6 linked regions of the Oryctolagus cuniculus genome follow. The protein of the gene in region 1 interacts with the protein of each later gene in a biochemical or structural test. Links are inferred from orthologs where the notes say so. Each region holds a gene or a part of one and is shown in the gene's direction. Other genes may lie near its edges.

Region 1 (5,555 bases):
GAGGCTTCTTATTTGCATGCACGTACCTCACTTTTTTAAAAAGATCTATTTATTTATTTGAAAGCCAGAGTTAACAGAGGCAGAGAGAGACAGCGAGAGAGGGGTCTTCCATCTAATGGTTCACTCCCCAAATGGCTGCAACAGCCAGAGCTGGACTGATCCAAAGCCAGGAGCCTGAAGCTTTTCCCAGGTCTCCTACGCAGGTGCAGGGGCCCAAGCACTTGGGCCATCTTCCACTGCTTTCCCAGGCCATAGCAGAGAGCTGGATCGGAAGTGGAGCTGCTGAGACCGAAACCAGAGGCCATGTGGGATGCTGGCACTGCAGGTGGTGGCTTTGCCCGCTATGCCACAGTGTTGGCCTCTCCATCACTTTCTTTTAAAAAAAAATATGTATTTATTTATTTGAGAGAGAGAGGTTTATTTTTCATCTGTTGGTTCACTCCCCAAATGCCCACAACAGCCAGGGTTGAGCCAGTCCAAAGCCAGGAGACTGGAACTCCATTCAGGTTTCCTGTGTGGGTGATAGGAACCCAAGCACTTGAGCCATCATCAGCTGCTTCCCAGGCACGTTAGCAGGAAGCTGAATCGGAAGCATGGTGCAGCCAGGACTCTGATGTGGGAGTCCTGCCATCTCTCTCCAACTCTTTTTTAAAGAGAGTCTCTCAAATTTTATAAACCCCAGACCCCACAAAACCTACATCTCTCCCACTATGAGTAAATCTGGAAGTGTGTACTGAGCAATCTTCATGTGCCAAGTGCCGTCTGAGTGGCTGATATGTGATGGAGCCGCGACTTGAACACAGGGCTCCCTGATTCCAGAGCCCGCTGTTCCCAGCCTGCCTCTCTCAGTGCTCAGCCCACGACGCAGGTTAGGAAACGTCCGTCTGCTTCTCTCTCCAGACCCCAGAGCAGCGTCTCACTCCTCTTGACCCGTACTGATGTGCTCTTGGGCTCCGGGGTGGAGTGGGGGGGCATTCAGAATTGCCAGATTTAGCAAATAATAATAAGGGTGCCCCGTAAATCTGAATCTCAGATAAATAATGAGCAATTTGTTAGGATACAATGTCCCATGTCGTATTTTGTCTTTCAGCAAAAATCGGTCTTCTTTCCAGGCGCACTGCCACCACGGAGGTTTAAGAGTAGGGGCCGGAATTCAGGCGGGATGGATGCAGGGTGGAGGGGTGGCGCTCAGCAGGCGGGAAAAGGCGAGGAACAAACCTGGGAGGGATTGGGTTCTGCGCGTAGCCTTACGGAAAACAAGAACGCTCGGCCAGGGACTGAAGCCCTGCTGCCTCCGATTTCACTGTCCCCTCCCAAATGTGTAGGTCTTGCTTCTCAGCCCGGACCAGATCCCTACAACAGCCGAGGAGCTGTCCAAAGGGCTCCTGGAGGCCGCACCTGGACCCCAGCTCATCCCCGCTCCCAGGCCGGCAGGTTTACTTGAGTGCGCCGGCGGGCAAGCCATTATTCGATACCACAACAAACAGGCGCGGGACGCGGTAGGATGCAAACTCCCCGGGAATGTTGCAGATCTAACCCGAGGCTTCGGAGAGACCGGAGGGTGGCAGCCTGGAGAATTCGCCCGCACTCCGGGGCAGGCGGCGGGATCCCTCTGCCCGGCTCTGCGTGAGGACTGCTGCGGGCAACCCCGGCGTCCGGGCGCTGGCACGGACGCACCCAGGCCTGCGCCGGGAGAGGGAGAAAGCGAAGCTGGAGTTGCCACTCCCAGACTTGCTGGAATGCAGCGGCGGGGGTGGGGGGGCGAGCCGTGAGCGCGCCTGCTCCCAATCACGGGAGGAGGAGGAGGAGGAGGAGGAGGAGGAGGAGGAGGAGGAGGTGGAGGAGGAGGAGGTGGTGGAGGAGTAGGATTGCTTGAGGAAGTACGAGAATGAAGTTGTGGAGCTGAGATTCCCCTCCAGCGCGAGCCGAGAGACTAGGAGTGCCCGCCGGCAGCCGCGCGCCCGGCCCCCACCCCCTCGCCGAGCCCCGCGCACTCCCAGCCTGGTCCAGCCGGAGCCATGGGGCCGGAGCCGCAGTGAGCACCATGGAGCTGGCGGCCTGGTACCGCTGGGGGCTCCTCCTCGCCCTTTTGCCCCCCGGAACCGCGGGCACCCAAGGTGGGTCTGGCGTGGGGAGGGGATGGGGTAGTGAAGGGCCCCCCCCGCAGCCTGGGTCTCCGGTCCGAAGTCCCAGGCTGGCGGGGGCCGAGGAGCCCGACGAGCCCTCCTCGCCGAAGTTTCGTTAAGTTCGGGCTTTCCCGGCGCGGGGCGCTCGGGCCGGGAGGGGGCGAGAGAAGGTGGAGGCGGGGTTGGGGGCGACCCCCACCGAAGCGGCTCGAGATCGCCCCTTTCTAGGGCCCGGGCGCTTGCCGGACTCCCAGCGGGCTCCGGGGACTTGTCAGAAAAGTTCTCCGAGATTGCGCCCAAAGTTTTCGCCGAGGTGGATTGCGGGGTGGGTGTGGGAGTGTGCGTGCGCGCGCGCGCGCGCGAGCGTGTTTCCCCGCGCCGAGCCCCCGCCAGCCTTCTCAAAGCCTTTCCAGTTGGCAGCCTCCGCCTCCGGACTGGACTGGGCTGGATTCCTTGGGGGGGGGTCCTCTCTGCCCTGCCCCTCCCCCCTCCCCGCCCCCTCCAGCCGCCCGCGTTTGAGTACCGGCTTCAGGCGGGGCCGGGGGTGAAGGGGGAGGTGGGCAGAGCAACCTGCCCCGCGGGCCGGGGAGAGTGGCCTGGCGAGCTGCACGCGTCCCTGGCGCTGGGGTCTGGGCGAGGGGGAGGGGCCCTGGTTTGTTTTGAGCCAGTTCCTACAGGGCCTGCGGGCTTTGTGACTTGTGGAGAGCCTGGACCAGAGAGGGGTGAGGGTGGGTTTCCTGGTTTGGAGAGTTCCACGGGCGGCATATCGGGGCAGCTGTGGCCAGACGGGGGTATCCCAGGGGCCGGGTGCTTCTGCTGTCTTTTTGCTTCCTGCTGTGAGGGGACGGGGAGGGTGAGTGGAGAGGTGTGTATCCCGACCCTGCTGTCCGCCTGCACGAAGTCAGGATAAAAGCTAACACACACTCTGTGCCCAGTACACTCTGCTGGGCCCGTGGGTGGTGTTTTGCATGCATTCCCTCCTTTCGTCTTCCTAACAGAAGGCCACGTTGCAGGTGAAAAACGGGGCCCAAAGAGGGAGGCGGCTGCTGGCTTGTGGTGGGGCTCACAGCCGGCCCAGGGCAGCACAAGCCTTAGCCGCACATTGAAAATGATGATTGGGGTCCACCTGAGCCGGTGGGGGGCACTGCCCCTTGCATCCCTGGGTGAGGGTGCTGTGGGAGCAGGGTGAGGTGGCCCCTGGCACTCAGGGAGTCTGGGGAGCTGTGGGTGGCAGTGCATCCGTGGTGCTCTCCCGGGTCCTCGCCAGGGCCTTGCCGCATTGTCTGCGAGCTGTCAGTGTGTGTCTGGGGCTGTGCCAGGTGGTCCTGAATTATGGTCTGTGTTTGTGTGTCTGGGCCTTGTGTTGCCAAACATCAGTCTCCCTGATGACTTGGGGACGCAGGCTGAACTCTGCCCTCTCCAGGAACGCCCTCAAGGTGCTGGGCCAGATCTGTTGTAAATAGCAGGAGGTGGCCCCATGCCTGCTGGGTGGCTGCAGAGGGAGGTCCCTGTCCTCCCTCCCTCCTTCCCTGGGCGTGCAACTTCACCTCTGCCCATGGCGAGGGGCCGCCCTCCTCTCCTTGCCTGGGAGCAGAGCAGGCGGTGGCGGCTGCGTTGCTGGGGTAGACTCCTCTTGACCGGGGCCTCCTCAGGTCCTCACGCTGAGTTACAGAGAGACACTGAGTGTGTTGCATGGGGAATGGTTACAGAGGCAGGCACATCCCACCCAGCAGCCAGGTTCTACCCCAGGGCTGTGGGCTGGGGCAGGGATGTTGGAAGGGGAGGCCCAGGGGCAAGGGCCAGGGGGCCAGGATTTTGCTGAGATCTTTTTCAGCGGTCAAGATTTGTAAATTGCACCAAACGCATCCTTTTCACTGTTCATTCATATTTTAATTCCAGTGTGATCTTCCCAAGAACCTCCTTCCCTCTTTCTACTAAAAGTGTTCATTTTCATGTCCAAGAAAAAAAAAAAACAATAGCAAAGAAAGGCTCAAATGTAAAAAGAAAAATATATTGACTTTCAAGGTCAAATACAATGCGCATTTTCTCCTGAACTGGGATCACCTGTACTCCTGCTGGATGAAACCCTTGCCTCAAGTTTTTAAGAAGTTGCAGTGCGCTTCCTGTAGGCAGGTGCTCAAGTGCAGATGGCTCCGTTCCGTCTCTAACAATCCTGAGACAGGGGCACAGGTGGAAAACTGAAGTTCAGAGAACCCACGGACTTGGCCAAGGCTCCTTAGCCAATGAAGAGGCCTTAAGAGTTGGTCAAAGTCCACACAACAGGAATGGCTTGACCCAAACCTTAGCCTAAAGGGATAGGGATGCTGTTCTGTTTTGGGGTGGACCTCCGAACCTGGCTAGGGGAAATGGGGCTGAGCTGGGGGGCCTGAGGTCCCCTCCCGGCTGTGGAGTCCTCTCCCTTCCTGTCCAGCCCATGCCTGCCTTTCTCCTGGGCCCTCTCAGCATCATAGGGGACTTAGGGCAGGAGGGTGTGGAGGCCACTGGGATGCTAAGGGCTATGGGTGAGGGGAGGCCTGGGGGTCCAGAGGCTGGGGCAGGACCCAGGGTAGATGTGCCTGCCTCTGGGTGATGGAATGGTCTAGAAAGAGATCTCCCTTCCTGCCCTCCACCTGCAGGGAAACTCCTGTGCCACTTCTGCTAGGCCACCCCCTCCCCTCCTCACCCTTGGGAAGAGAGGCGAGGTAGGGGCGAGGGATGTGTGTGCTCTGAAGGAGTGGGAGAATTATTACAGCTAATGTTTGTGTTGCCCCAGCTCTGTTTACAAAGACTTGCCATGTTTACAGACTGCCTCTGGATTCAAGCTCTCGTTTAACTCTCTTGTACCTGCTTGGAGGGAGTAAGAGTCGTTAGGACCCAGTTTAGGCCAGGAAATAGTCGCTGGGTGCCAAGGAAATCACAGGTGTGGAGATGAATCCCAGGGAGCTTCTGCCCTGCAGGTGCAAGGCCTCACAAGGTCACGGAGAGAGTGGCTGCGCTAGGGTTCTGGTCTAAAAACAGCCTAAACCGTGCAGGTGTGTGTAGGGGTGAGCCCTGGCATGGCTGTGGCCGCAGGGGTCTGGGGATGAAGGGAGTTCCCTGGTGGTACTCATGGAAACCAAAGGAAGCCTTAGCTTTCATGCTGTGAACAAAGAAGCAGCTTGGGCTAAAGGCTGGGGGAGAGGAGAGAACCCATCAAAGAGCCCGGGACTGGGGCCAAACCCTGACCACCAGTGTCCCGCAGGAGGGACAGGAGGGAGTGCGCCCCGCTCTGCACGGAGGAATGGGCACCGAGACCGCACCTGGCCCCTTTGCCTCCCGAGGCAGACTAGACTGGGTGTATGCACTCAGCAGGCACAAGTTCTGTTCTGTGGGCCCTGTGCTGGCTCTGGGCTGGTCCTGTCTCACTCTTGGCCCCTGAGCTTGGGGCTG
Region 2 (4,766 bases), on another chromosome or scaffold:
AGTACCTGGGCTGCCTTCTGTTGCTTTCCCAGGAGTATTAGCAGGAAGCTGGATCAGAAGTGGAATAGCCAGAACTAGAACCTGCACTCATATTTAATTGCTGGCATTGCAAGCAGCAGCTTAACCTACTGTACCACAACACTGACCCTGCCAGTACGGTCTCGATTGCTTTTTAGTTAAGTGTGAAATTAGATCCTTTGAGTCCTCCAATTTTATATTTCTTTTAAAGTATTTTTGTGTTTATTCTGGCTTCCTTGTATTTCCATATGAATTTTAAGATCAGCTGTCAATGTCTGTAAAAAATGTAGCTGAGTTATTAGTATAGATTTAAGATAAATCTTGCTTTTAAAGTAGTAAATCTTTTGGTCTTTGAACATGAAGCATTCAAGGTATTTTACAGCAATGTTTTACAAATTTCTTACAATGTTTTAAATTTCAAGAATATGGTCAGCGCCGCGGCTCAATAGGCTAACTCTGCCTGCGGCGCTGGCACCACGGGTTCTAGTCCTGGTCAGGGCGCCAGATTTTGTCCCGGTTGCTCCTCTTCCAGGCCAGCTCTCTGCTGTGGCCCGGGAAGGCAGTGGAGGATGGCCCAAGTGCTTGGGCCTGCACCCGCATGGGAGACCAGGAGAAGCACCTGGCTCCTGCCTTCGGATCAGCGCGGTGCGCCGGCCGCAGTGCAATGGCCACAGCAGCCATTGAGGGGTGAAGCAACGGAAAAGGAAGAGCTTTCTCTCTGTCTCTCTCTCACTGTCCACTCTGCCTGTCAAAAAAAAAAAAGTTTTAAGAATATAAATTAGTTTAAAATTTCTTACAACAATATTTTGTATTTTATTCCTAAGTAATTTAATTTTTTGATGCTATTGTATTTTCTTAAGTTTTGCTTTCAGATTGATCATTATTGATATACAGAAACACAATTACCTTTTATATATTGATTTTGTATCCTATAATATTACTAAACTCATTCACTAATTCTAATGGTTTTTTTCCATTGTTTAGGATTTTCTGTATGCCAGATAATGTCATCTGCAAGCAGAATTAATTTTCTTTCTTTCTTTCCCACCTCAATGTCTTTTATTTAATGTATTTCATTGTAATGGCTAAAAATGCTAATATAATTTGAATAGAAATCAACAATAGAGTGGACGTTCTTATCTTGTTCCTGAACTTTGAGAGAAAATATTGAATTGTAATAATTTTTTTTTACCCTGAAAAGAGTAGGTTGTATTTTTGCTTTGACGACTAATTTCCTTTTGATTCAAGATGTTTTCCCTTCTGTTTAACATACACAGATATGTGCTGATTAGAAAGCTGAACTGTGCAGTGAGAAAGAAGGACAAGCAGTGCCTTACAAAAATGGGGTTTGGGAGTGACCTGAAGAATTCACACGAAGCTGTGTTAAAATTGCAAGACTGGGAATTACGGTTACTGGAAACAGTGAAGAAATTTATGGCTCTGAGAATAAAAAGTGATAAAGAATATGCATCTACTTTACAGAACCTTTGTAATCAAGTTGATAAGGAAAGTACTGTACAGATGAATTATGTCAGCAATGTATCTAAGGTAAGAAGAATTATTTCATCATTCATTGCATATAACATCATAATTATGCTCACAGCAAATAGATCATTCTATTGAATGAGCATACCCACATTAACATACTAGGACAGTGGTTCCAGAATTTTTTGCTGAGTATCAGAATCTTATGGGGGAAGGTTTCCAAAATTATTTTGGGAACTTACCTGCTGATATTCTAATTCAATAGGTCTACAGAGGGACTTTGAAGTTTTTTCTGTAAATAAATATACAGGTTATTCTAGTGATTAGTCAGACTTGAGAGCTATTGTTAGAAATATTGGGTTTTTAAATTTTGTTTTCTGCTTTGGGTCAATTGACCTTTGCTGATTATTTCCTTTGATGCAAAGAAAATTTTAACCCATATTCCTGAATTCTTTGATGAATTGTTTGAAATATTTTAACCCATACCTCTCTCTTATTTTCTATCATTTCTTTGCTAAAATACTGGTAAATAAATAAATTAGTTTCCTCTTAAATCCACTGGATGAACTATATCTATCGAGATATCTATATATATATATATGTAGATACTTAGATATCCATAGATAGATATTTTCTGTAAGTTATATAAGAGATATGTAAGTTATATAAGAGATATAAAATACCTATATAGATATATATCTATATAGGTAGATGGATGCTTCCTATAAGTTTGTTGAAATTCCATCCAGTCTTACTTGGCTCAGTTTTTTTTCATGAATTTGTGTTGGATCTTGTCACGTGGTTTTTCTTTGTCTATTTCTGGAGTGATGTTACCTTATCTCATTCCATATATTGGAAATTTGTGTTTTTTCCCTTTTTTCTGACCAATCTGGGTAGAGGTTTATTAATTTTACTAATATTATCTGAGAACTCCCTTTTGATTTTGTTGACTTAAAAAGATTTTTTTTTTCTATTGCTTTGATTTCAGCTCTGAAGTCTACTGATTTTTCTTCCTCTTAATTTGTTTTTCATTTGCTCTCCCTCTTCCCTTGGTTTATTAAGGTGGAAGCGGAGATCACTGATTTGAGACCTGTCTTCTTTTGTAATACAAGGGTATAGTGTTCTAAATTTTTTTCCGAGTACTATTTCATCTGTATCCAGAAATTTTTCTATGCTTATTTTAATTTTCTTATAGTTAGGATTACATTTAGTTTCCTTTTTGATGTCTTTTTTGACAGATGTGTTCTTTGAAAGATTGTTATTTAATTTCCAAATAGTTGTTTTTTTCCATATGTATTTTTGTTAGGTATTCTGAATTTAGTTTTCCAAAAACTTATTTTGTATAATTACATGTTTTTAAATTTTTGAATACTACTTGTTTTATAACCCAGAATGAGGTCTGTTTTGGTAAATGTTGTATGTATACTTGATAAGAATATATACTGTTACGGTCAAGATGGTTGATAGTGGTGTCCCACTGTATTGTTTCTTTTTTAGTCAGAGTTCTCCGGAGAAGGAGAAGCAGAAGGGAAGCTATATATATGTAACAGGGAAGTCGAGAAGTCCCTCTGTGTGCTATCTGTAGCCTGGAGAACTGGGGAAGCCAGTGATGTAATTCTGTCTAAGGATGAAGGTCTGAGAACCGGGAGAGCTGATCTTGTTCTCCCAGTCTGAGGCCAAGGCCCGAGAACCTGAGGGGCTGTTGGTATAATTCTCAGAGTACAAAGGTCCTAGGACTTGGAGTTCTAATTCTGACTTCAGGAGGAGATGCATGTCTCAGCTCCAGAAGACAGAGCAAATGAGCCCTTCTTCATCCTTCTAGTTCTGTTAAGTTCTTACTACATTGCATGATGCCTGCCCATGTTGGTGAGGATGAATGTTTTTTAATTAATTTTATTTAATGTATACAAACTTAATGCATTTCTTACATACAAATCTAGGAACACAGTTGTTCTTCCCACTCTACCCTCCCTCCCTCCTACACTCCTACCCTTTTTCTTCCTCCCTCTCCTATTCCCATTCTTCTTCTTCTTCTTCTTTTTCTTCTTCTTCTTCTTTTTTTTTTTTTTTTTTTTTTTAGGATTTATTTATTTATTTGAAAGGCAGAGTTACAGAGATAGAGAGAAAGTTACGGAGATAGAGAGAAAGGTCTTCCATCTGCTAGTTCATTCCCCAGGTGGCCTCAATGGCCACAGCTGGGCAGATCCAAAGCGAGGAGCCAGGAGCCTCCTCCAGGTCTCCCTCGTGGGTGCAGGGAACAAAGAACTTAGGGCATCTTTACTGCTTTCCTAGGTCATACCAGACAGCTGGATTGGAAGTAGAGCAGCTGGGACACAAACTTGCACCAGTATGGGATGCCGACACTGCAGAACGGGACTTTAACTGGCTGTGCCACAGCTCACAGCGCCGGCCCCTCCCATTCTTATTTTTAAAAAGGTCTATTTTCAGTTAACTTTATGCTCATAAGATTGACCCTACACTAAATAAAGAGTTCAACAAATAGTATGAAGAAAAAAAAAACTGACACTGTGAGGATGAATCTCTTACTTAGTTGAGTGATTCAGATGATGTCTCTTGTGGAAAAACCCTCATAGACATGCACAGAAATAATGTTGTACCAGCTTTCAGGTATCCTGTGATCCAGTCACTCCTGTTGCACTAATTATTGAGTTTTTTTTTTTTAGTGATTTATTTGAAAGATAGAGTGACACACACACACACACAACACACACACAGAGCTAGAGAGAGAAAGAGAGAGAGAGAGAGATCTTGTATCTGCTGAGAGAGATCGCTTGATCTTTTATCTGTTGGTCCACTCCCCAAATGCTTCAACAGCTAGGGCTATGGCAGCCAGAGCCAGGAGTCAGAAATTCCATTCAGGTCTCTCACTTGGGTGGCAGGGACCCAAGGACTTGAGCTAACATATGCTGGCTCCCAGGTGCAGTTAGCAGAAAGCTGGAGCAGAAGCAGAGGTGACTCAGTCCAGGTACTCTGATATGGGATACAGGCATCCCAAGTAGTTGCTTAACTACTGCACCATGATGATCCCCTGAATTTTTCTTTATTACTTAAGGCTATTTGAAGTGTGTGCATTGTCTTCAATCCTGAGGGGCATGGTTGTTTGAGTTACTTTGGAAGTAGTATTGGGAGATGGAGACCTAGGCTGTCTTTGCTTCCAAATCCCTGGACTCTTGTTTCTCCATCATCCTAAAGCTCTTCTTTACTTCTTCTTTTAAAGTTTTATATATTTATTTGAAAGGAAG
Region 3 (4,766 bases), on another chromosome or scaffold:
GGGCTCGCCGAGTCGCAGACGAGATGTTTGCCGCGCCGCCGCGTGGCCTTTCCTGCCCAGTTAACTCGAGTGTGAAACCTCTACACGAGGTTGCCGTGCAGAGAAGCAGAGCGGCGCAGGAGTCGCGGGCAGCTCCTCGTCCTCAGATTTTCCGTGCCCCACAGGAGCCTGGTCCAGATGCTCCCGTCACTCGGGACGTGAACCCTCTGATGCTGCACATTGAGATTTCCTGACTCCTGGTTTGCCGTGCACGGCTGGTCTGCTCCCTCTTCACTCAGGCACACTTAAGATGCTTTGCCGAAATCCCATTAGGCACAGCTCTTCGTGTTTAATGCCTCTCTCCTTGCTGATGCCCAGGCTCCCGCGCAGCCGTCGCTGCATGCGGCTGCCTCCTCGCACTCCTGCACCCCGGTGTGCCTTGTGCATTTGTGGTTAACATCCGTGGAGCAGAGGTTAAACGGCTGCCTCCCTGGAGGCTCAGGAGGCGGGAGGAAGAGAGTTGCGAGGAGGCATTTGGGTGAGCATCAGGAAGAGAGAGGGAGGGAGGAGGCAGAATCTAGGTGGAGGCGCCCGGGCTTTATTTTACTCCGTCCTGGTCATGCCTGGGTAGGACAAGTGGAGACTGTCCTACCTACGTTCCTTGTGACGGAGGATTGGGCTGAGCGTTGGTTGCCGTGCCAGCGTGCAGTAGCGGTAACGGCGCCCTTACGTAACTCGCCGCTGCTCTCCAGGCATTGCTGGAAGCACCTGACACGTTCGTTCATCGCGCGCAGCCCCAGGGTGTAGGTGCCTTTATCATCATCCTCACCTTACAGGGTAACTAACCTGCTGCAGGTCTCAGTGCCTCCCGGGCTGCCCCTGGCGCCGTGCTGGGGCTCAGGCCATGCGCCCAGGGGCTGGCACCGCCCCCAGCCTGCAGGGTCTGAATGCCTGCAGGGGCCGACGCCGTCTGCCTCGCCAATTCTGCACCTTCGCTTGCTGGTGGTGGATTTGGGCAGCCGAATCCTGGGGGTCTCACGGTGACCTTCCTTCCCAGGGACCTTGCTGCCCGGAACTGCCTGGTAGGGGAAAACCACTTGGTGAAGGTGGCTGATTTTGGCCTGAGCAGGCTGATGACAGGGGACACCTACACGGCCCACGCCGGAGCCAAGTTTCCCATCAAGTGGACCGCGCCGGAGAGCCTGGCCTACAACAAGTTCTCCATCAAGTCCGACGTGTGGGGTAAGAGCCGCTGCCCGGCGCAGTCCACTCCCGGGGGGCTTTGCTCCGTTCTCCTCTGCCTCATGCACCAGCTCTTTCCCTTCCAGTCCCTGGTCTCCATTACTTCTCCTTCTTTCTCACTTTATTTCTCTACTTTTGATTCGTTTTGTCTATTTGAAAGGCAGAGGAAGAAAGAGAGAGAGAAAGGGCCATTTGTTCCCAGCCGGTTTCAAACCAGGGCAAGCGTAACAACCACTACACCACAGGAACCGCCTGCTTCTTTGTCATTTAAAATCCTTTCCCCTTTGTTTTCTTGTCAAGGTAGAGTGAGAGTGAGCTTTTTCTTCCTCAGTTATGCAGAATAGCTTGCTGTAACTTATTATTGGGTCATCTTCCACTGCTTTCCCAGGCCACAGCAGAGAGCTGGATCGGAAGAGGAGCAGCCGGGGCTCGAACCGCTGCCTATACGGGATGCCGGCACTGCAGGTTTTAACCCGCTGCGCCACAGTGCTGGCCCCCAACCCTCATGTTTTTAAAAGCGAATCCCAGGCCCCATGTTATTTTGTGTCTGGTGTTCGGCTCCCAGCTAGCTGGACTGTGAAGCTCGGGCTGTTTCTCACAGTTTGCACTGAGATCCAGGTGTGGTTCCCGCAGTGCTTGGCCGGTCTTTGCCGAAGCCGCCTCCAGCCACGGCTCCCTCTCCGTGTCCTTTTTCCCTTGGTTTCCTTTTATGCAGAAGCTCCGTCGCTTGTCCTTGAGTTTCCCACGTGGTGGGTTTTCTCTGCCACCGCTGCTTCTGGGGTCCCGTCGCTGGGTCGCTGAGTCGGCAGCTTCGTCACATCCGGGCCTGCCTTGGGCCTCTTCCACCAGGACTTGGGAAGGTGGCGTGCTCTGTCCTCGGCAGTGCGTCCTGTCCGCGTGTGCCGACACCCAGCGCCTAGACGCGCTGCTTGACAAGGGATGCCAGGAGGAGGTTCCCTGGATCCGTCTTTCCTCACTCACTTATTAGCAGGCTGCTCTGCAAGAAGCCCCTCCCCTTGTCTGCCCGGGCCTTGGTGCTAGTACTAGCGTAGAAGCGGCAGGGTGAGTGCCTGCTCCTCTGCCTTTGTTTACCAGTTTTTGAGATAAGCTGGTCTGTTGATGCCCCTCCGTGGTGCCCCGTGAGGTTTTGTTGTTTGTCACTGCTGATGTCATTATGAACCGGGGAGCTTTATCTGACACATAGAGAGGGGGAGACACACACCCACACACGGAGCAAGGTATATCTTCCGTCTGCGGGTCTCTCCCCAAATGCCTGGGACAGCCGGAGCTCAGCCCGGAGCCAGGAGCTGTCCCAGCCTCTTGTGTGGATGGCAAGGGCCCAAGTCGTTGGGCCGTCATCTGCTCTGTGCTGGGTGCATTAGCTGAAAGCTGGATCAGAAGCATGGAGCGTTCGGGACTGGAACCAGGCACTCCTGTGTGGGACGAGGGGAATCCCAGGAGCTGCTTAACCCGCTGTATCTCATCGTCGGCCAGCGGGAGCTTCAGGGTAACTCCTGGTCCTCTTGGAGTTGCCCTTGGAGTCTTCCATGATGTCCATGCTGTCTGGAATGGCAGGATGCACAAGGCTCACTCACACCTGAGTCCCTGCTTCTCAGCGGAGCCCCGGTTCCTTCAACAGGGGAGGAAGTGTCAAGGCCATAAGCTGGGGTTGCAAAACTTACAAAGATTCCATGAAATTTGTTTGGCAGTTTTTTGAGTTGGCAGAGGAGATAATTCTGTACGCCTAGAAATGAGTGGCCTGTACTGGGCACACAGCAAGCCGGCCACAGAGCCACTGCGGCCTGTGCTGGGTGCACAGCTAGCCGGCCACAGAGCCACGGCGGCCTGTGCTGGGCGCACAGCTAGCCGGCCACAGACCTGTGCGTAGACTGTGGCTGCCTGTTTGCCGGCCCAGGCTCCTGACACCCCACATCCCGCGAGGTGGTTGCATTGGCTGAAAGGCCCCGGGGGGCTGATGGCTTCGCCGTCTTCCCTCCCGCAGTGTTTTCCGTCCGTGTCAGGCACTCTCCTGTCTGCGCTGCCCAGGGTGCTGGTGGTTCGTGCGGGACCAGCGGGGCTGCCTCTGCGGGTGCCCCTGGCGTGTCTGCTGCAGTGGCGTGAGCCTTCCAGCCTCCTTCTCCTTCCTTTTAGCGTTTGGAGTGCTGCTTTGGGAAATCGCCACCTACGGCATGTCGCCGTACCCGGGGATCGACCTGTCCCAGGTCTATGAGCTGCTGGAGAAGGATTACCGCATGGAGCGCCCGGAAGGCTGCCCGGAGAAGGTCTACGAACTCATGCGAGCATGTGAGCCCCGGCGCCAGTCTGGGGGGCGGCGTGAGGGCCGCGCAGAGGCCGCGGGGAGCGTGCGTGTGTGTGTGTGTCTGTGTGTCTGTGTATTCAAAAGATTGATTTATTTAAAAGGCAGAGGCAGAGAGAGAGGTCTTCCATTCGCTATTTTACTCCCCAGATGGCTACAACGGCCGGAGCTGGGTTGATCCAAAGCCAGGAGCTCCATCCAGGTCTCCACGCGGGTGCAGGGGCCCAAGCACTTGGGCCATCTTCTGCTGCTTTCCCAGGTCTTAGCAGAGAGCTGGATTGGAAGTGGAGCAGCCAGGACTTGAACCCACGCCCATATAGGATGCCGGCACTGCAGGCCGTGGCTTTACCCGCTACGCCACAGCGCTGGCCCCTGGATGTATATCTTTTTCACTTTCTTTAATGCTTGTGTGTTTGTTCATACATTGCGCACAAACGCTGCCTACCCAAACCTGGGTTTCTCCTCAGCCCTGAGTGCTGTGCTCGGAGGACCACCCCTCGGGGCGGGACTGCCCCTTCACTTCCGTGCCGTGGCATCACTCGTGCTCGTGTGGGCGTGTGCGCGTGCCTGTGAGTTAGTAGCAGGTGTGGGCTTTCCATGCCTGGGTTTTCAAGTCCCCTTCGCCCTCCTCCTATTTCATTCCATTGAACAATCCATTCATCCATCCAGTTCTCTATTGATGAGCGATTGATTGTTTTATATATTTGTTTGGTCTTTCCATTGTAAGAAAGACAGGAGTGGACATCCTTACACCTGTCCCTCTGCTCCTACACTGGTACTTTTGATAACTGCAGGCATTTTAACTTTTTTGAAAAAGATTTATTTATTTGAAAGGCAGAGTTATAGAGAGAGGGGGAGAGACAGAGAGGCAGGCCTTGCATCCATTGGTTCTCTCCCCAAATGGCCACAACAGCTGGGGCTGGACCAGGCCAAAAGCCAGGACCCAGGAGCTTCTTCCAGGTCTCCCATGTGGATGCAGGGGCCCAAACACGTGGGCCATCTTCCTCTGCTTTCCCAGGCACAAGTTATCAGGAAGCTGCCCTGGAAGCAGAGCAGCCAGGATCCCGGAGCTTGTTCAGGGTCAACCACATGAGTGGCAGTAGCCCAAGGACTTGAGCCTCTACCTGTGCCTCCCAGGAAACTGGATCAGAAGCAGAACCAGGACTCAAACCCTGGCACTGTGATGTGGGCCATGGGCATCCCATGTCACGTCTTAACCACTGCACCG
Region 4 (4,330 bases), about 17 Mb from region 1:
TGGTTTCCAGGCACGGAGGACTTACCCTTGAGTCTTAGTAGACACGGAGGACTTAACGTCCCAGCTCCTCAGCAGCTGGTGTCACAAGTAATTCCATTTAGGAGCATGGTCCGAGGTCTCCGAGGGGGCCAGGTGACTTCTGGGCAGTTCAGGTGTTTCGCTGTGGGTTTTTGTCTGGTACACTATTTTAGAGACATCTCGTAATAAGGTTGCTTAGGAGTGAGATAGAGATGCAGTTACATTTGTAACTTTAGTGGACTGTTTGGTGCCTTTAATATAGTTCACGTATTGAGTGAGTGCTGCTTAAGTAAGACAAAAACATTAAGGAGGATTTTCAGAGAGCACACTGTTTTTAGTGTCTTGTCCTAATTAGCAGTGGTTTTCACCTGCAGTAGCTGGGTGGCTGTGACTAAGCTCTTGCCTTCTCCTCCTGGTGAGCCACAAGGCACTCACTCTCCAGTTTTTCTGTGAATTCAGCCACGTTTCTTCGGGCCGGGTGGTTTATCAGGGAAGCTGAGGAGTCTGTAGCTGACTGCAAGTGAAAATCGTGATTTTGTAGCTGCTGCACACACGGTGAATTGTGGTGTCCTGGGTGTCACGGGGGCCCCGAGAGGTCGCCGACTGTGGTCACTGTGGAGGCTGTGCCTTCCCCCTTGGGCTCTGAGCAGAAGTAGCCCTGCCTCCCCGATTTCCTCCCTTCATTATTAGTCCCCCATCAAGTGGCTGCCACCAGTCAGGGACTGTCTCTGCCTGTGTGGTTCCTCCTGGCTTCACATCCTCTGGCCTGGGAAGCCAGTCTAAGCATCTGTATCCACAGAGAGTGGCCTGCATAGTGCCTGCTGAGTCTCTTGGGAGCTGGAGTGAGGAGAAGGGTGGTCTGTCGGGGAGCCCCTGTGGCAAGGAGTGCTCTGTTACCCCCATCTCCAGGGGTGGGTGTCCCCGTTCCTTTCAGGGGAAGTAACTGTTGACTCCCTTGCCTTCTTTCTCTAGGTGGTTTTTTGGCAAAATACCCAGAGCCAAGGCAGAAGAAATGCTCAGCAAACAGCGGCATGACGGGGCCTTTCTCATCCGCGAGAGCGAGAGCGCGCCCGGCGATTTCTCCCTCTCCGTCAAGTGAGTGTTTCCTGCCCCGCTGCCGGGAAGCCGGCTGCCGCTGACGGGAATCGTGCAGCCAGCGTCGGTGTCTGGCCACGCAGACTGCCGGGGGTCCAACCAGCCTGGACAGCATTTTCATTTTATTTTGAAACCCTGATGGTCCGGGCTTGCTGCCCTGGATGGAGCCCCGGGGGAGCCGTCTCCAGGACTGAGGCAGGCAGCGTCCCTCCATGGGCATCCGCCGGGGGTTCCTGCAGTGGACTCAGTGCTCAGATGACCAGTCCCGTCCTGGACCTCCCTGTAACTAACAAGGTGCTGGGGAGGATTTGGGGGGAGCCGTCCCAGGTGGTAGATTTGTGGTAAGGAGCTAGCAAGCAGGAGTGGAGAAGATTTTGAGTTCTCATTTCCATGTGGGTTTTTTTCTTTGCTTTTGTTTTTTTTGCTTTCAGTCCTGTTCTGATTAATAAATTATCATAGGAAACCCTCCCTCGGAAATTTTACAAATCACTTTAGTGTTTATACACATAAACACATGTATATGGGTAATTAGGTTAAATTAGGTTAAAGCTCAGATTGCCGTTTTATTATAGATTACATTAAAGTTATTTTTATAATTTTTAAAGATTTATTTTATTTATTTGAAAGAGTTACACAGAGAGAAGGAGAGAGAGAGGGGTCTTCCGTCGCTGGTTCACTCATCAATTGGCCGCAATGGCCAGAGCTGCACTGATCCAAAGCCAGGAGCCAGGAGCTTCCTCTGGGTCTTCCCACATGGGGGCAGAGGCCCAAGGAGTTGGGCCATGTTGTACTGCTTTCCCAGGCCACAGCAGAGAGCTGGATCAGAAGTGGAGCAGCCGGGCCTCAACCCGGCGCCCATATGAGATGGTGGCACTGCAGGTGGCAACTTCACCCGCTTCGCCACAGCGCTGGCCCCTAAAATTATTTTTAACATGAGGGTAAGAGAATAATTTACAAATGATATAAAGCACGAGACTTTAAAAGAGAACTTAGTATTTTGGTTTAAGATTAATGTGTGGTTAAAGTATAGATTTTTTTTTTAACAGCAGATTTAAATATAGAGATGTGTCTTTTTTAAAATGTGAATTAGGACCCATGATTGTGGGTATTTGTTTGTTTGATTGTTTTCCATTTTATTTGAAAGACAGAGACCAAAAGAGATCCCCCCTTCTGGTTCACTCCCCAAATGCCTGCAACAGCTGGGGCTGGGCCAAGCTGAAGCCAGGATCCCAGACTCCATCCAGGTCTCACGTGGGTGACAGGGGCTCCTGTGAGTGAGCCGCCTCCGCTGCCTCCCAGGATCTGCGTGAGCAGGAGGCTGGAGTCGGAGCAGAGCTGGGGCTCAGACACTGATGTTTGTGCAGGCTTCTTAACCAAAGGCCTGTCCAGTAAGGACTCCTTGAAGGGCTTGATTGAACATCGCAAGTGAAGTTCTGCTGCAGAGCGTGGCCCGGGGAGGGGAGGGCGGTGGGGTCATCATCTGTGTGCATCTCGGTCCCTTGTGTTTTATGCTGACTGAGTATAAAGTAAACGTGCGACTAGGAATACAAGCAGTTGGTCATTGGCTGGTGGCCAGCACCTCCGGGCACTCAGTGTGGGACACTCCTGCCACAGACACCAAAACCCGCAGCACTCCCTTTTATCAAATTCTCTATTCATTGTCTGAGAAATAAAGTGTGAGACTGCCTGTGACAACAGAAAATGTGTCACCAAGGAGGCTCAAGAATCAACAGCCTCAGCAGTGTTTCTCTGGTTTTTAAGATGTTTTGAGTCAGTGATTCGAGCCCTTGTAGTTGGCAGAGTGCTCACCCGGGACCTTACGCACCTAAGAAACTGACCGCGTCCACCGCCAGCGAGTCCCCAGGGCCAGAGGTGCAGGACAGGCCCTTCTTCCAGAAGCCCTCTCACTAGCACTGCACCCCCCCACACACACCCCTCCCCCTCCTCTCTCCCCCGTGTGTGTGTGTGTTGTGTGTTGTGTGTGGGTGTGTGAGAAAGCAGTACAGCAGCCACCCCCATCCGCGGCTTCACGGTCCACAAGTGACTGTGGTCTAAAAATACTGATCGGGACATTCCAGGAACAAACAGTTCAGATTTTAAATGACTTTTATTTTTTTGTGGTTGTTGGTTGTTACAATTGTCTTGTGTATTGTTAGTTTACTATACCTAACTTACTAATTTAACTTTATCATAGAAGTGTGTGTGTGTGTGTGTGTGTGGTGTTTGCAAGAGAAAGCAGTATATATGCAGTTTGGTACTATCCACCGTCTCACGCATCCACTGGGGGTCTTAGAACCCCCCGCAGCACACACACACACACACACAAACCACACTATGGATAGTGGGGGAGGGAATGCCAGGGCCACTGGATTGTCTTCCCCCAACCCCACTTGGTATCCTGCACTCCGGCTTCCTTGAAGCCCAGTCCTGCCACCTGCTGGCTGTTTTTGGAAAGTGTTGGCTTCTTTAGGCTTTAATACTGAAGGAGGGCCTTTGACGTTAAAATTATCTATTTACTTATTTGAAAGAGTTGCAGAGAAAAAGAGAAATCGGCTGCAATGGCCAGCACTAAGCCAGGCTGAAACCGGGAGCTTCCTCCCAGTCTGCCACGTGGGTGGCAGGGACCCAAGCACTGGGGCCTTCGTCTGCTGCTTTTCCTACGCCATTAGCATCCAGACTTGACCGTCGCTCGTATGGAATGCCAGCATTGCAGGCGAGGGCTTTACCTGTTATGGCGCAATACCGACCCAAAGGAGGGCTTTGAGGAACACGTGCTCACTGAGTCCTTGGAGGATTCAGCAGGGAACGGGACAGCAGGTGTCACTGGCAGCTCTGTGTTGCTGGCCAGCATTAAGGGGAGTGGATTTTCTGGCGATGGAGGGTGTGGGGACTTTGGTGCCTGGGCCTCTTTTGCTGTCCCAGTACATCCTTTTTCCCCCCACGGCCTTTATCCCGTGAGTAGAACTCAAATCCCCAAGTGGGAAATGACTGGAGTATTTCTGGTACCTGGAGCTTTGTTGAGCGTATCTGCTTCCTCACCTTATTTTCTATCCCACCTTTGAGATTTTAATTATTTTTGCTTGAAGCGTAGTTAATTAAGGTATATTCCTTGTCTTAAGTGAGGCTGATGTAGTTGGTACAGTGCAGGGCACAGCATGGGTTGGGACATTCCTTTTTTTTTTAAAGGTAATTTACATGAAGGGCAGAGTTGCAGAGA
Region 5 (4,766 bases), on another chromosome or scaffold:
TTTCTTGGGTGGAGCAGGACAGACGGGGCCCCTTCGGGCATTGGGGCTGCTTCACGCGGTGGGGACAGGGTCCCTGAGCAGAAGGGCGTGGGCAGGACCAGAGCCCAAGTGCACTGGGGCCTTGGTCTGGGGAGGGAGGTGGAGGCAGCGGGCAGGTGGTTCACGTCTGCATATCCTCTGGGAGGCAGTGTCTCGGAAGCTGGGTTGCACTCAGTGTGGTGCTGTGGTTACGTGAGTGTCATGGTCAAGTGCATAGGCCCTAGAGCTGTAGCTCGGGTTCCTATTCTGGCAACACAGCTTCAGAGCGCCGTGGCCTTGGGCAAGCTGCCTGACCGCTGGGAACCTCAGCTTCCTCATCTGTGTGCTGGGGCCAGCAAGAGCACCCATCTCAAAGTGTGGGTCTGCAAATTGATTGGATGCACGTGGTATTAAGGCAGAGCTCGAAACAAAATAAGTGCTGTTATTATTATATTGCTTATTAAGGAAACCACTAATGTCATAGACGCAGGTGGGGGCAGGGCTGTGAGACAACCTGGGGAGGTGTCCTGTCTCCACTGCCCTTCAACAGCCCCTGATCCCCCTCCTGCCTGTTCTCCTGGCCATGCCACTTGCCAGGGCCTTCTCCTGTTTCCCAAATTCTGCCTAGTACCCAGGTGTGAGCTGACCATCCAGACTTTGGAGATTTCTACCTCCCTTGATTCAAAAACTATGCTCCTTCTAATTCGTCCCAAGATGACCACAGGCCAATGTCATAATTGCAGCACATCTGAGTCTTCTACGCCACCTTTGGTCACTTTGATGGCCACGGTGTACTCACACCGTTTACGGCTGCAGTTTGATGCCAGAAAGAGCCATCAGGTGCCAGCAGGAGGGGTGAGGCCTGAGGTTGATGTTGGGACTGACAATGCTTAAGAGAGTGGAGAAAAAGCAGCCAGCAGATCTGGGCAGGATTGTCAGAGAAGAGTGGAGAGAGGATGCTCTTCTGGAAGCCGGGGAGGACAGGCTAGGAGATGGGGGAAGGGAGGGATCTGAGTGATTGCCTGGAGGGCGGAGGTGGGCAAAGAAGTCAGTTGGGTGGCAAAGGGTTCTAGGTGGGAATCATCGGACAGTCTTACAGGCGGTCACTTCCCCTCTCTGAGCCTCGAGTTCCTCCTCTGTGAGAGTGTGTGAAGGGCCCTAAGGAGAGGGACTCAGGGGCTCAAGACGCCCTGGTGCAGTCACCGGTGACTGGGGTTCTAGCAGCCTCTTTATTTGAAAGGCAGACATCAGACAAAGATCTCCCACCTGCTGAAACCAGCAGCCAGAAGCTCCAGAGCTGGGTCTCCCGTGTGGGGGCAGGGACCCAGGAACTTGAGCCACCACCTGCTGCCTCCCAGGGTGCTCATCAGCAGGAAGTTGGAATTGGGAGCAGAGCCAAGGCTCCAACCCAGGCGCTCAGATACAAGATGCAGGTGTCCCAAGCGGCATTTGAAATGCGTGCCAAGACCTGCTGCTCTCACAAATTTATTTATTTATTTATTTATTTATTTATTGACAAGTAGAGTTATAGACAGTGAGTGAGAGAGAGAGAGAGAAAGAGAAAGGTCTTCTTTCCGTTGGTTCACTCCCCAAATGGCTGCCATGGCCGGTGCTGCGCTGATCCAAAGCCAGGAGCCAGGTGCTTCCTCCTGGTCTCCCATGCAGGTGCAGGGGCCCAAGCACTGGGGCCATTCTCCACTGCCCTCCCGGGCCACAGCAGAGAGCTGGACTGGAAGAGCAACCAGGACTAGAACCTGGCGCCCATATGTGATGCCGGTGCCGCTGCAAGCGGAGGATTAACCAAGTGAGCCATGGTGCCGGCCCCAGCTCTCACAATTTTTAAAAAGACTTATTTATTTATTTATTTATTTATTTATTTATTTATTTTGAAAGGCAGAGTTATGGGGTGAGAGAGAGAGAGAGAGAGAGAGATCCTCCATCACTTTCCAAATGGCTGCAACAGCCAGGGCTGGGCCAGGATGAAGCCAGGAACCAGGATCTTCATCTGGGACTCCCACATGGGTGTCCCAGGCACATTAGCAGGGCACTGGATCAGAAGTGGCTCAGCCAAGACAAGAACCGGCCCAGCATCACAGGCAGCAGCTTAACCCATTACACCACAATGCCGGACCTCAAAATTTTAACTCAAGGGCTGGTGCCGCGGCTTACTAGGCTAATCCTCCGCCTGAGGCGATGGCACCCTGGCTTCTTTCTAGTCCCAGTTGGGGTGCTGGATTCTGTCCTGGTTGCTCCTCTTCTAGTCCAGCTCTCTGCTGTGGCCCGGGAAGGCAGGTGGTTGGGCCCCTGCACTCTCATGGGAGACCGGGAGGAGGCACCTGGCTCCTGGCTTCGGATCAGCGGAGTGCACCGGCTATAGCAGCCATTTGGGAAGTGAACCACCAGAATGAAGACCTTTTAAAAAATTTTTTTAACTCAAGGAAACCCAAAGAGTAGAGACGGGAAAGCTCCCCTTTGTTGGGCACCTGCTATGTGCCAGGGGTTTTCCACGCCCTGCTCTGGGATCTTCACACAGGCTGAGTCCCATTGTACGTGCGAGGAAAGTCTTGGCTGCAGAGGTGACTGCCCAAGGGGCTGGGCTGGGGTCTGCACAGAGTGTCCCTGACTCTCACCTGCCCTTCCCAACAGGTGGTACTTCGGAAAGATCGGGAGGAAGGATGCAGAGAGGCAGCTGCTGTCCCCAGGCAACCCCCAGGGGACCTTCCTCATTCGGGAGAGTGAGACCACCAAAGGTGGGGGCTGCGCCCTGGCAGTGTGGGGAGGGGCCCCCTGCCCCCCAGCCCTGGCCTCTTCCGGCTACCAGACTGGGGAAGACGCCGACAGCACACCTGCAGTGACCCTTTCCCACCCACAGGCGCCTACTCGCTGTCCATCCGTGACTGGGACCAGAGCAGAGGTGATCACGTGAAGCATTATAAGATCCGCAAGCTGGACACGGGTGGCTACTACATCACCACGCGGGCCCAGTTCGACTCAGTGCAGGAGCTGGTGAAGCACTACATGGGTGAGGGCGGGCGCCTCCGGTCGCTGAGCCAGCCCGCTGATGCCCTTGTCCATAGGAGAGACGGAGGCCCAGAGAAGGGAGGGTTCTCCCAAAGCACTCGTGGCCACACCGGGCTCAGGATACTGCTCTGCGGGCTTCACCAGGAAACTGAGGCAGGCATCCCACCATGGCCAAGCAGCGCCCCCTAGCATCTGAGCAGGGAATTGGCCAGTTTCTGGCATCAAGTCCTGAACCCAACAGGAAGTTTAAGCACTGAGCTGCCTTGTATGCCCACCTTCCCCTCCCCACCCCACCCCACTCCTCCCAGCACCAGCAGGGCACTAGGACTGCCCTGTGGCAGGGAGGGAACCACCGTGACAGGGACCACAGCAGGGGATGGCAGAGGCTGTCTGCACTTTGGTGAGACACCCTGGCGGCTGGTCAGGCATGGATGCCCAGGGCAAGGCGGAAGGAGGAGAGTGCTCAGAGGCAGCAGCTGCCACACTCAGGCAGCAGAAGTAGAGCAGAGGCAGAACGGCCCAACCTGGAGGGTTGGCTGGTCGGTCAAGGGCAGGGTGGGGGTCAACGCCCTGCCTGGACTGGTTAGGTCAAGGATGGGCCTCATGTCCATACCTTGTCTGGACTCCCCACCCCTACACCTGTCCTGATCTCACTTTCTCCTTCAAGACCAGCTCCCATGTGAGAGCCCCCAGTCTTTACAGGAAAACCCCTTGTCCTGTAGGGATCTTCTGTCCCCCTGGGGTGCCACGCCCTTCCCTGGGTACATACGTGTTCATTGACTCAGGGCCAGGGGTGCATTCCCTCCTGGCCTGTGCCCTCCTGGGAGGCCTAGTTCTTCATAGTTGGGCACCAGGCACCAGTGGGATGAGGTGGGGGGGAGGTGTGGCCCTGGCCCATGGGTAACCTGCAGCCCTCCTCCCTCCAGAGGTGAACGATGGGCTGTGCCACCTGCTCACGGTGGCCTGTGCCACCATGAAGCCGCAGACCCTGGGCCTGGCCAAGGACGCCTGGGAGATCAGCCGTGCCTCCATCGGACTGGAGCGCCGGCTGGGCAGCGGCTGCTTCGGGGATGTGTGGCTGGGTATGGAGATGTGAGGTGCCTTCTGGGGGGGGGGGGGCGTGGGGAAGGCCTGGGCCCGGGGGGAGCAGTCCTGACGCGCTGGGCCGTGGGACAGGCACGTGGAACGGCAGCACAAAGGTGGCGGTGAAGACGCTGAAGCCGGGCACCATGTCCCCGAAGGCCTTCCTGGAGGAGGCGCAGGTCATGAAGCTGCTGCGGCACCACAAGCTGGTGCAGCTGTATGCCGTGGTGTCCGAGGAGCCCATCTACATCGTGACCGAGTTCATGTGCCACGGTGAGGGCGCGCGACACTGGGTGGGGGTCTCTAGGAAGGGGACCAGAACCCTGGTGAGTGAGAGGCCCCTAGGTAAGAGGACAGCAGGCCTGGGAGTGGGGGCGGAGCCTTGGGATGGGGTGTGGGTAGGCGGTGGGTGGGGCTTGAGCTAAGGAAGCCAAGCTCTGTGCTGAGGGAGGGTCTGGGCAGAGTCCGTGAGGGGCGTGTCCAGGAGAGGAAGAGGATCCTGGAGATGTGTCTGGGTGGGTGTCTGAGAGCAGGAGGCGGTGGGCGAGGCCAGCGAGAGGGCTGGGGGTTCCACGGGGGTAACCGGGCGGGTTCAGGAGAGAGGTGGGCCTGGAGCGGGGGTCCTCACTGATTTTCTGGCTTCC
Region 6 (4,766 bases), on another chromosome or scaffold:
AACCATGACCAGCGGAACTAAGATTAACTCTGTTGGGAATGTAAAGTGGGGACTCAATCCTTGCTTGGCAGTTGAGCGTAGAAAGTGAGGGAAGAGGCCGGCACTGTGGCTCACTTGGCTAATCCTCCACCTGCCGCGGTTCTAGTCCTGGTCGGGGCGACGGATTCTGTCTCGGTTGCTCCTCTTCCAGTCCAGCTCTCTGCTGTGGCCCGGGAAGGCAGTGGAGGATGGCCCAAGTGCTTGGGCCCTGCACCCGCATGGAAGACCAGGAGGAAGCACCTGGCTCCTGGCTTTGGATCGGCACAGCGCACTGGCCGTAGTGGCCATTTGAGGGGTGAACCAACGGAAAAGGAAGACCTTTCTCTCTAACTCTGCCTGTAAAAAAAGAAAAGAAAAAGAAAGTGAGGGAAGAGGTTTGACTTCAGAGAGGATTAAGAAATGCCTTTGAGGGAAGAGAAAGGATTAGGTGAGGGGGGCAGTTGTTTTCAATAGGAAGTCTTTTGGGGAACCTAATGGCAGCCAGGTGTGCTTTAGTAACCTGATGGATTTGTTACTGAGGGAAGAGGTGGGGACTGAATATGTTGGTTTGGCCCTTAGAATCACACAGAATGGGGCCGGTGCTGTGGCTCAGCGGGTTAAAGCTGCGGCGCCAGCATCTCATATGGGGGTTAGTTCCAGTCTGAGGTAGTTTCCAATTCAGCCCCCTACTAATGTGCCTGGGAACGCATATGGGAGACTGGAAGAAGCTCGACCTGACTGTTGGGGCCATTTAGGGAGTGAACCAGTGGATGGAAGATCTTTCTCTCCCTCTCTCTAACTCTACCTTTCAAATAAATAAATCTTTAGGAAAAAAAAAAAAAACTGGAATGAGCAAAGCAAGAGATGTGGAAGGAAGGTGAGGGGTGTATTGCATGTAGGCCAACAGGTGAAAGCTTTTTCTCTCTCAAAATAATGTTTGAGATAAGTTTATTGTAGTGCAACAATTTGAAATCTAGCTTTTTTTTTTTTTTTTTTTTTTTTTTTTTGACAGGCAGAGTGGACAGTGAGAGAGAGACAGAGAGAAAGGTCTTCCTTTGCCATTGGTTCACCCTCCAATGGCCGCCGTGGCCGGCGCGCTGCAGCCGGCGCACCACGCTGTTCCGATGGCAGGAGCCAGGTGCTTCTCCTGGTCTCCCATGGGGTGCAGGGCCCAAGCACTTGGGCCATCCTCCACTGCACTCCCTGGCCACAGGAGAGAGCTGGCCTGGAAGAGGGGCAACCGGGACAGAATCCGGCGCCCCGACCAGGACTAGAACCCGGTGTGCCGGCGCCGCAAGGCGGAGGATTAGCCTAGTGAGCCACGGCACCGGCCCACACCTGATATTTTTAAGACAAACTGCTATTAAGCAGTTTGCCCTTGGTTATAAAATTGTTAATAAGTAACAAGGCCTTTGAAATTTTAAATCAAGCTCCTAATCACCTAATCATTATGACTTATGAAAGTAGTTGTAGTAAAAAGAGATACAAGGTTTTGTTTTTGTTTTTGTTTTAAGATTTATTTTTCCCCTGTGCTGTGTGGCATAGTGGGCTAAGCCTCAGGTGCCGGCATCCCATATGGGCACTGGTCCCAGTCCAGCTCTCTGCTATGGCCTGGGAAAGTAGCAGAAGATCGTGCAAATCCTTGGGCCCCTGCACCTGCATGGGAGACCGGAAGAAGCTCCTGGCTCCTGGCTTCAGATCAGCCTAGCTCTGGCCGTTGCTTTCATTTGGGGAGTAAACCAGCAGATGGGGGAATCTCTCTCTGCCTCTCTGTAACTCTGCCTTTCAAATAAGTAAATAAATCTTAAAAAAAAAAAAAAAAAGTAATGTGGCTGTATATATTTAGGGCCATAATAAATGTTCACGTTCTTTAACCTAGTTATTTGAGTTCTGGGAGTCATAAGTTAAAAAAGTGATAAAGGGAAAATATGCTCAAAGTGTGTGGCATTGACGGCTAAACATGAAGAAACAGTGAACTATCCAGGGGCGCTTCCTTATGTTGTGCTCACAGAATGCTGTGACAGTGGAGGTGGTGGAGGCCAGTGATGTGCAGACACACCTGTGCTGTGATTTTAGGAAGAAAAGCTGCCGCAGTTTTTCTGGAGTGGATGCAGGCTTTGGTGAAGCCCCCTCTTAGTGAGATACAAACTCTGGAGGCACCCCAGCCTAGGGTAGATTCTGGGCTTCAGAAAAGGGGAAGGGGAAGAAACGTTTTTTTCCACTTGGTGGCTTTCCAGCTTTTCAAACCTTGTCTCAGGCGAGGAGAGACTCGTGTTTCTGGTGGGTGTTAGCAGGACTGTGCTTGTGTGGCTGACCCTGGGAGTTCATCCTACATGTCGTTGGGCAGATATTAATATATCTGTAGCCACTGCAAAGCTGCAGTGGTGGCAGCAGACTGACGCTTACATGGGGGCTCTGACCTGTGCGTTTTGCAGTGTAAGTTTCATTGATGCTCATTTTGATGATCAGGTGGTAATTTTATTTTGGTAGACATCTGGTTTTTGTACTTTGAGGGACCAGAGGCAGACCTTTCTCATCTTTTCTCTGTGTAGCCAGGGAAATGTGCAGGATGTGTCATTAAATTAGGACTGGGAGAAAGAATTTGTGGCATTTGTGACAAAGTCCAATGGAAGGCAGCTACTGAACTTAAGATTTTAAAAATAAATTAAGATTGGGTATCAGCTGGCACCCTGGGTTCTAGTCCCGGTCGGGGCACCGGATTCTGTCTGGTTGCCCCTCTTCCAGTCTAGCTCTCTGCTGTGGCCCAGGAGTGCAGTGGAGGATGGCCCAGGTCTTTGGGCCCTGCACCCGCATGGGAGACTGGGAGGAAGCATCTGGCTCCCGGCTTTGGATCAGCGCAGCGCGCTGACCATAGCAGCCACTTGGTGGGTGAACCAACGGAAAAAGGAAGACCTTTCTTTCTCTCTCTCTCTCACTAACTCTGTCCAAAAAAAAAAAAAAAAAAAAAATTGGGTATCTATATGTAAACAAAAACTTATAAAGCAGATGTGGTGTGTATATACATTTGACATGTAATTTGAAAAGGCATACTCAGGATATTGACTTTCATTAAAGACTACAGAAAGTACAATCTGAAAGAACCTTCTTACTCCTGAGAATAAATATAGAGAAATAATTCATTATGGAGGAGTGTGGTTTATTAAAAAATTTGATAGGGACCAGCATTGTGGCATAGTGGGCTAAGTTTTTACCTGCAGCACTGGCATCTCATATGGGCTGTGGTTCTAGTCCTGCCTGCTCTTTTTCTGGTCCAGCTCTCTGCTGTGGCCTGGGAAAGCAGTGGAAGATGGCCCAAGTGCTGGGGCCCCTGCACCCCATGGGAGACCTATAGGAAGCTCCTGGCTCTTGACTTCAGATTGGTCCAGTTCTGGCCGTTGTGGCCATTTGGGAGTGAACCAGTGGATGGAAGACCTTTCTCACTGTCTCTCTCTCTCTCTCTGTAACTCTACCTCTAAAATGAATAAAATCTTAAAAAAAAAAAAAAAAAGTTTGATGACACTGGTAAGATTTTTCTCCTAATTTTCTTTCTCTCTTAAGGTATCCAAGCCCACAAATGGGATCTGTCTCGGCACCCAACCTGCCTACAGCAGAAGAAAATCTGGAATATGTACGGACTCTCTATGATTTTCCTGGGAATGATGCTGAAGACCTGCCTTTTAAAAAAGGTGAGATCCTGGTGATAGTAGAGAAGCCTGAAGAACAGTGGTGGAGCGCCCGGAACAAGGATGGTCGGGTCGGGATGATCCCTGTTCCTTATGTTGAAAAGCTCGTGAGATCCTCGCCACACGGAAAGCACGGAAATAGGAATTCCAATAGCTATGGGATCCCAGAACCTGCTCATGCGTATGCTCAACCTCAGACCACAACTCCTCTACCTGCAGTTTCCAGTACTCCTGGGGCAGCCATCAACCCCTTGCCATCCACACAGAATGGACCTGTCTTTGCGAAAGCAATCCAGAAAAGAGTGCCCTGTGCTTACGACAAGACAGCCTTGGCATTAGAGGTAAAACCTGTTAAGACTGTCCTTTTGGGTTCTTTGACGTTTGGTTTTCATTTTCAGTTTTAATTTCTGCAAAGTCATGACTTCTCATTTAAGGTTATGTTCATGGGAGTTAAAAAACTGGGTTATTCTGAAAGATGCAGTTAGTGTTGCAGTTTTTGTCCTTTCCTTCTCCTTGTTTCTTCCAAGTTCTCAGCCTGCTTATTCTTAATTCTTGCTCCTAAAAGCCCCTAGATGTGATTTCAGTAGTTGGTTTTCTTTTCAGTAAGGAAAGATGATAATTAAGAAAGGTCCAGAGGCTGGTGCTGTGGCGTAGCAGGTGAAGCTGCTGCCTGTAGTGCTGGCATCCCATATGGGTGCTGGTTCGAGTCCCAGCTGCTCTACTTTCAATCCAGCTCTCTAATATGGCCTGGGAAAGCAGTAGAAGATGGCCCAAATCCTTTGGCCCCTGCGCCCACATGAAAGACCTGGAAAAAGCTCCTAGCTCCTGGCTTCGGATTGACCCAGCTCTGGCTGTTGTGGCCATTTGGGGAGTGAACCAGTAAATAGAAGATATCCTCCCCCCCCCCCCCCCCCAGCCTCTCTGTAACTGCCATTCAGATAATAAATAAATCTTAAAAAAAAAAAAAAAAAAGTCCATGACCTTGAGGAGAAATCAGCATATAGACACATAGTCATTTGTGCAGTTCCCATATTTCTAACCTGCTAAGTAGATCAGCTAGGCAGA

The links.
Region 2: the proteins of ERBB2 (region 1) and FER form a complex in vitro, tested with the Homo sapiens proteins (2 studies listed by BioGRID and IntAct, with this or other methods). The link is inferred for Oryctolagus cuniculus from reciprocal best matches to the Homo sapiens genes ERBB2 and FER.
Region 3: the proteins of ERBB2 (region 1) and ABL1 form a complex in vitro, tested with the Homo sapiens proteins (3 studies listed by BioGRID and IntAct, with this or other methods). The link is inferred for Oryctolagus cuniculus from reciprocal best matches to the Homo sapiens genes ERBB2 and ABL1.
Region 4: the proteins of ERBB2 (region 1) and GRB2 form a complex in vitro, tested with the Homo sapiens proteins (4 studies listed by BioGRID and IntAct, with this or other methods). The link is inferred for Oryctolagus cuniculus from reciprocal best matches to the Homo sapiens genes ERBB2 and GRB2.
Region 5: the proteins of ERBB2 (region 1) and FGR form a complex in vitro, tested with the Homo sapiens proteins (2 studies listed by BioGRID and IntAct, with this or other methods). The link is inferred for Oryctolagus cuniculus from reciprocal best matches to the Homo sapiens genes ERBB2 and FGR.
Region 6: the proteins of ERBB2 (region 1) and CRKL form a complex in vitro, tested with the Homo sapiens proteins (2 studies listed by BioGRID and IntAct, with this or other methods). The link is inferred for Oryctolagus cuniculus from reciprocal best matches to the Homo sapiens genes ERBB2 and CRKL.

Annotation. Positions count from the first base shown.
Region 1 is NC_091448.1:22,691,155-22,696,709, reverse strand, and holds the start of ERBB2 (receptor tyrosine-protein kinase erbB-2), read left to right. Parts: upstream 1-1,823; 5' UTR 1,824-2,044; coding exon 2,045-2,117; intron 2,118-5,555. UniProt on the Homo sapiens protein: Protein tyrosine kinase that is part of several cell surface receptor complexes, but that apparently needs a coreceptor for ligand binding. Essential component of a neuregulin-receptor complex, although neuregulins do not interact with it alone.
Region 2 is NC_091445.1:31,468,007-31,472,772, forward strand, and holds part of FER (tyrosine-protein kinase Fer), read left to right. Parts: intron 1-1,295; coding exon 1,296-1,566; intron 1,567-4,766. UniProt on the Homo sapiens protein: Tyrosine-protein kinase that acts downstream of cell surface receptors for growth factors and plays a role in the regulation of the actin cytoskeleton, microtubule assembly, lamellipodia formation, cell adhesion, cell migration and chemotaxis.
Region 3 is NC_091432.1:233,492,894-233,497,659, forward strand, and holds part of ABL1 (tyrosine-protein kinase ABL1), read left to right. Parts: intron 1-1,036; coding exon 1,037-1,221; intron 1,222-3,372; coding exon 3,373-3,525; intron 3,526-4,766. UniProt on the Homo sapiens protein: Non-receptor tyrosine-protein kinase that plays a role in many key processes linked to cell growth and survival such as cytoskeleton remodeling in response to extracellular stimuli, cell motility and adhesion, receptor endocytosis, autophagy, DNA damage response and apoptosis.
Region 4 is NC_091448.1:5,227,098-5,231,427, forward strand, and holds part of GRB2 (growth factor receptor-bound protein 2), read left to right. Parts: intron 1-990; coding exon 991-1,113; intron 1,114-4,330. UniProt on the Homo sapiens protein: Non-enzymatic adapter protein that plays a pivotal role in precisely regulated signaling cascades from cell surface receptors to cellular responses, including signaling transduction and gene expression.
Region 5 is NC_091438.1:143,956,733-143,961,498, forward strand, and holds part of FGR (tyrosine-protein kinase Fgr), read left to right. Parts: intron 1-2,664; coding exon 2,665-2,768; intron 2,769-2,890; coding exon 2,891-3,040; intron 3,041-3,965; coding exon 3,966-4,121; intron 4,122-4,215; coding exon 4,216-4,395; intron 4,396-4,766. UniProt on the Homo sapiens protein: Non-receptor tyrosine-protein kinase that transmits signals from cell surface receptors devoid of kinase activity and contributes to the regulation of immune responses, including neutrophil, monocyte, macrophage and mast cell functions, cytoskeleton remodeling in response to extracellular stimuli, phagocytosis, cell adhesion and migration.
Region 6 is NC_091452.1:29,686,755-29,691,520, forward strand, and holds part of CRKL (crk-like protein), read left to right. Parts: intron 1-3,576; coding exon 3,577-4,042; intron 4,043-4,766. UniProt on the Homo sapiens protein: May mediate the transduction of intracellular signals.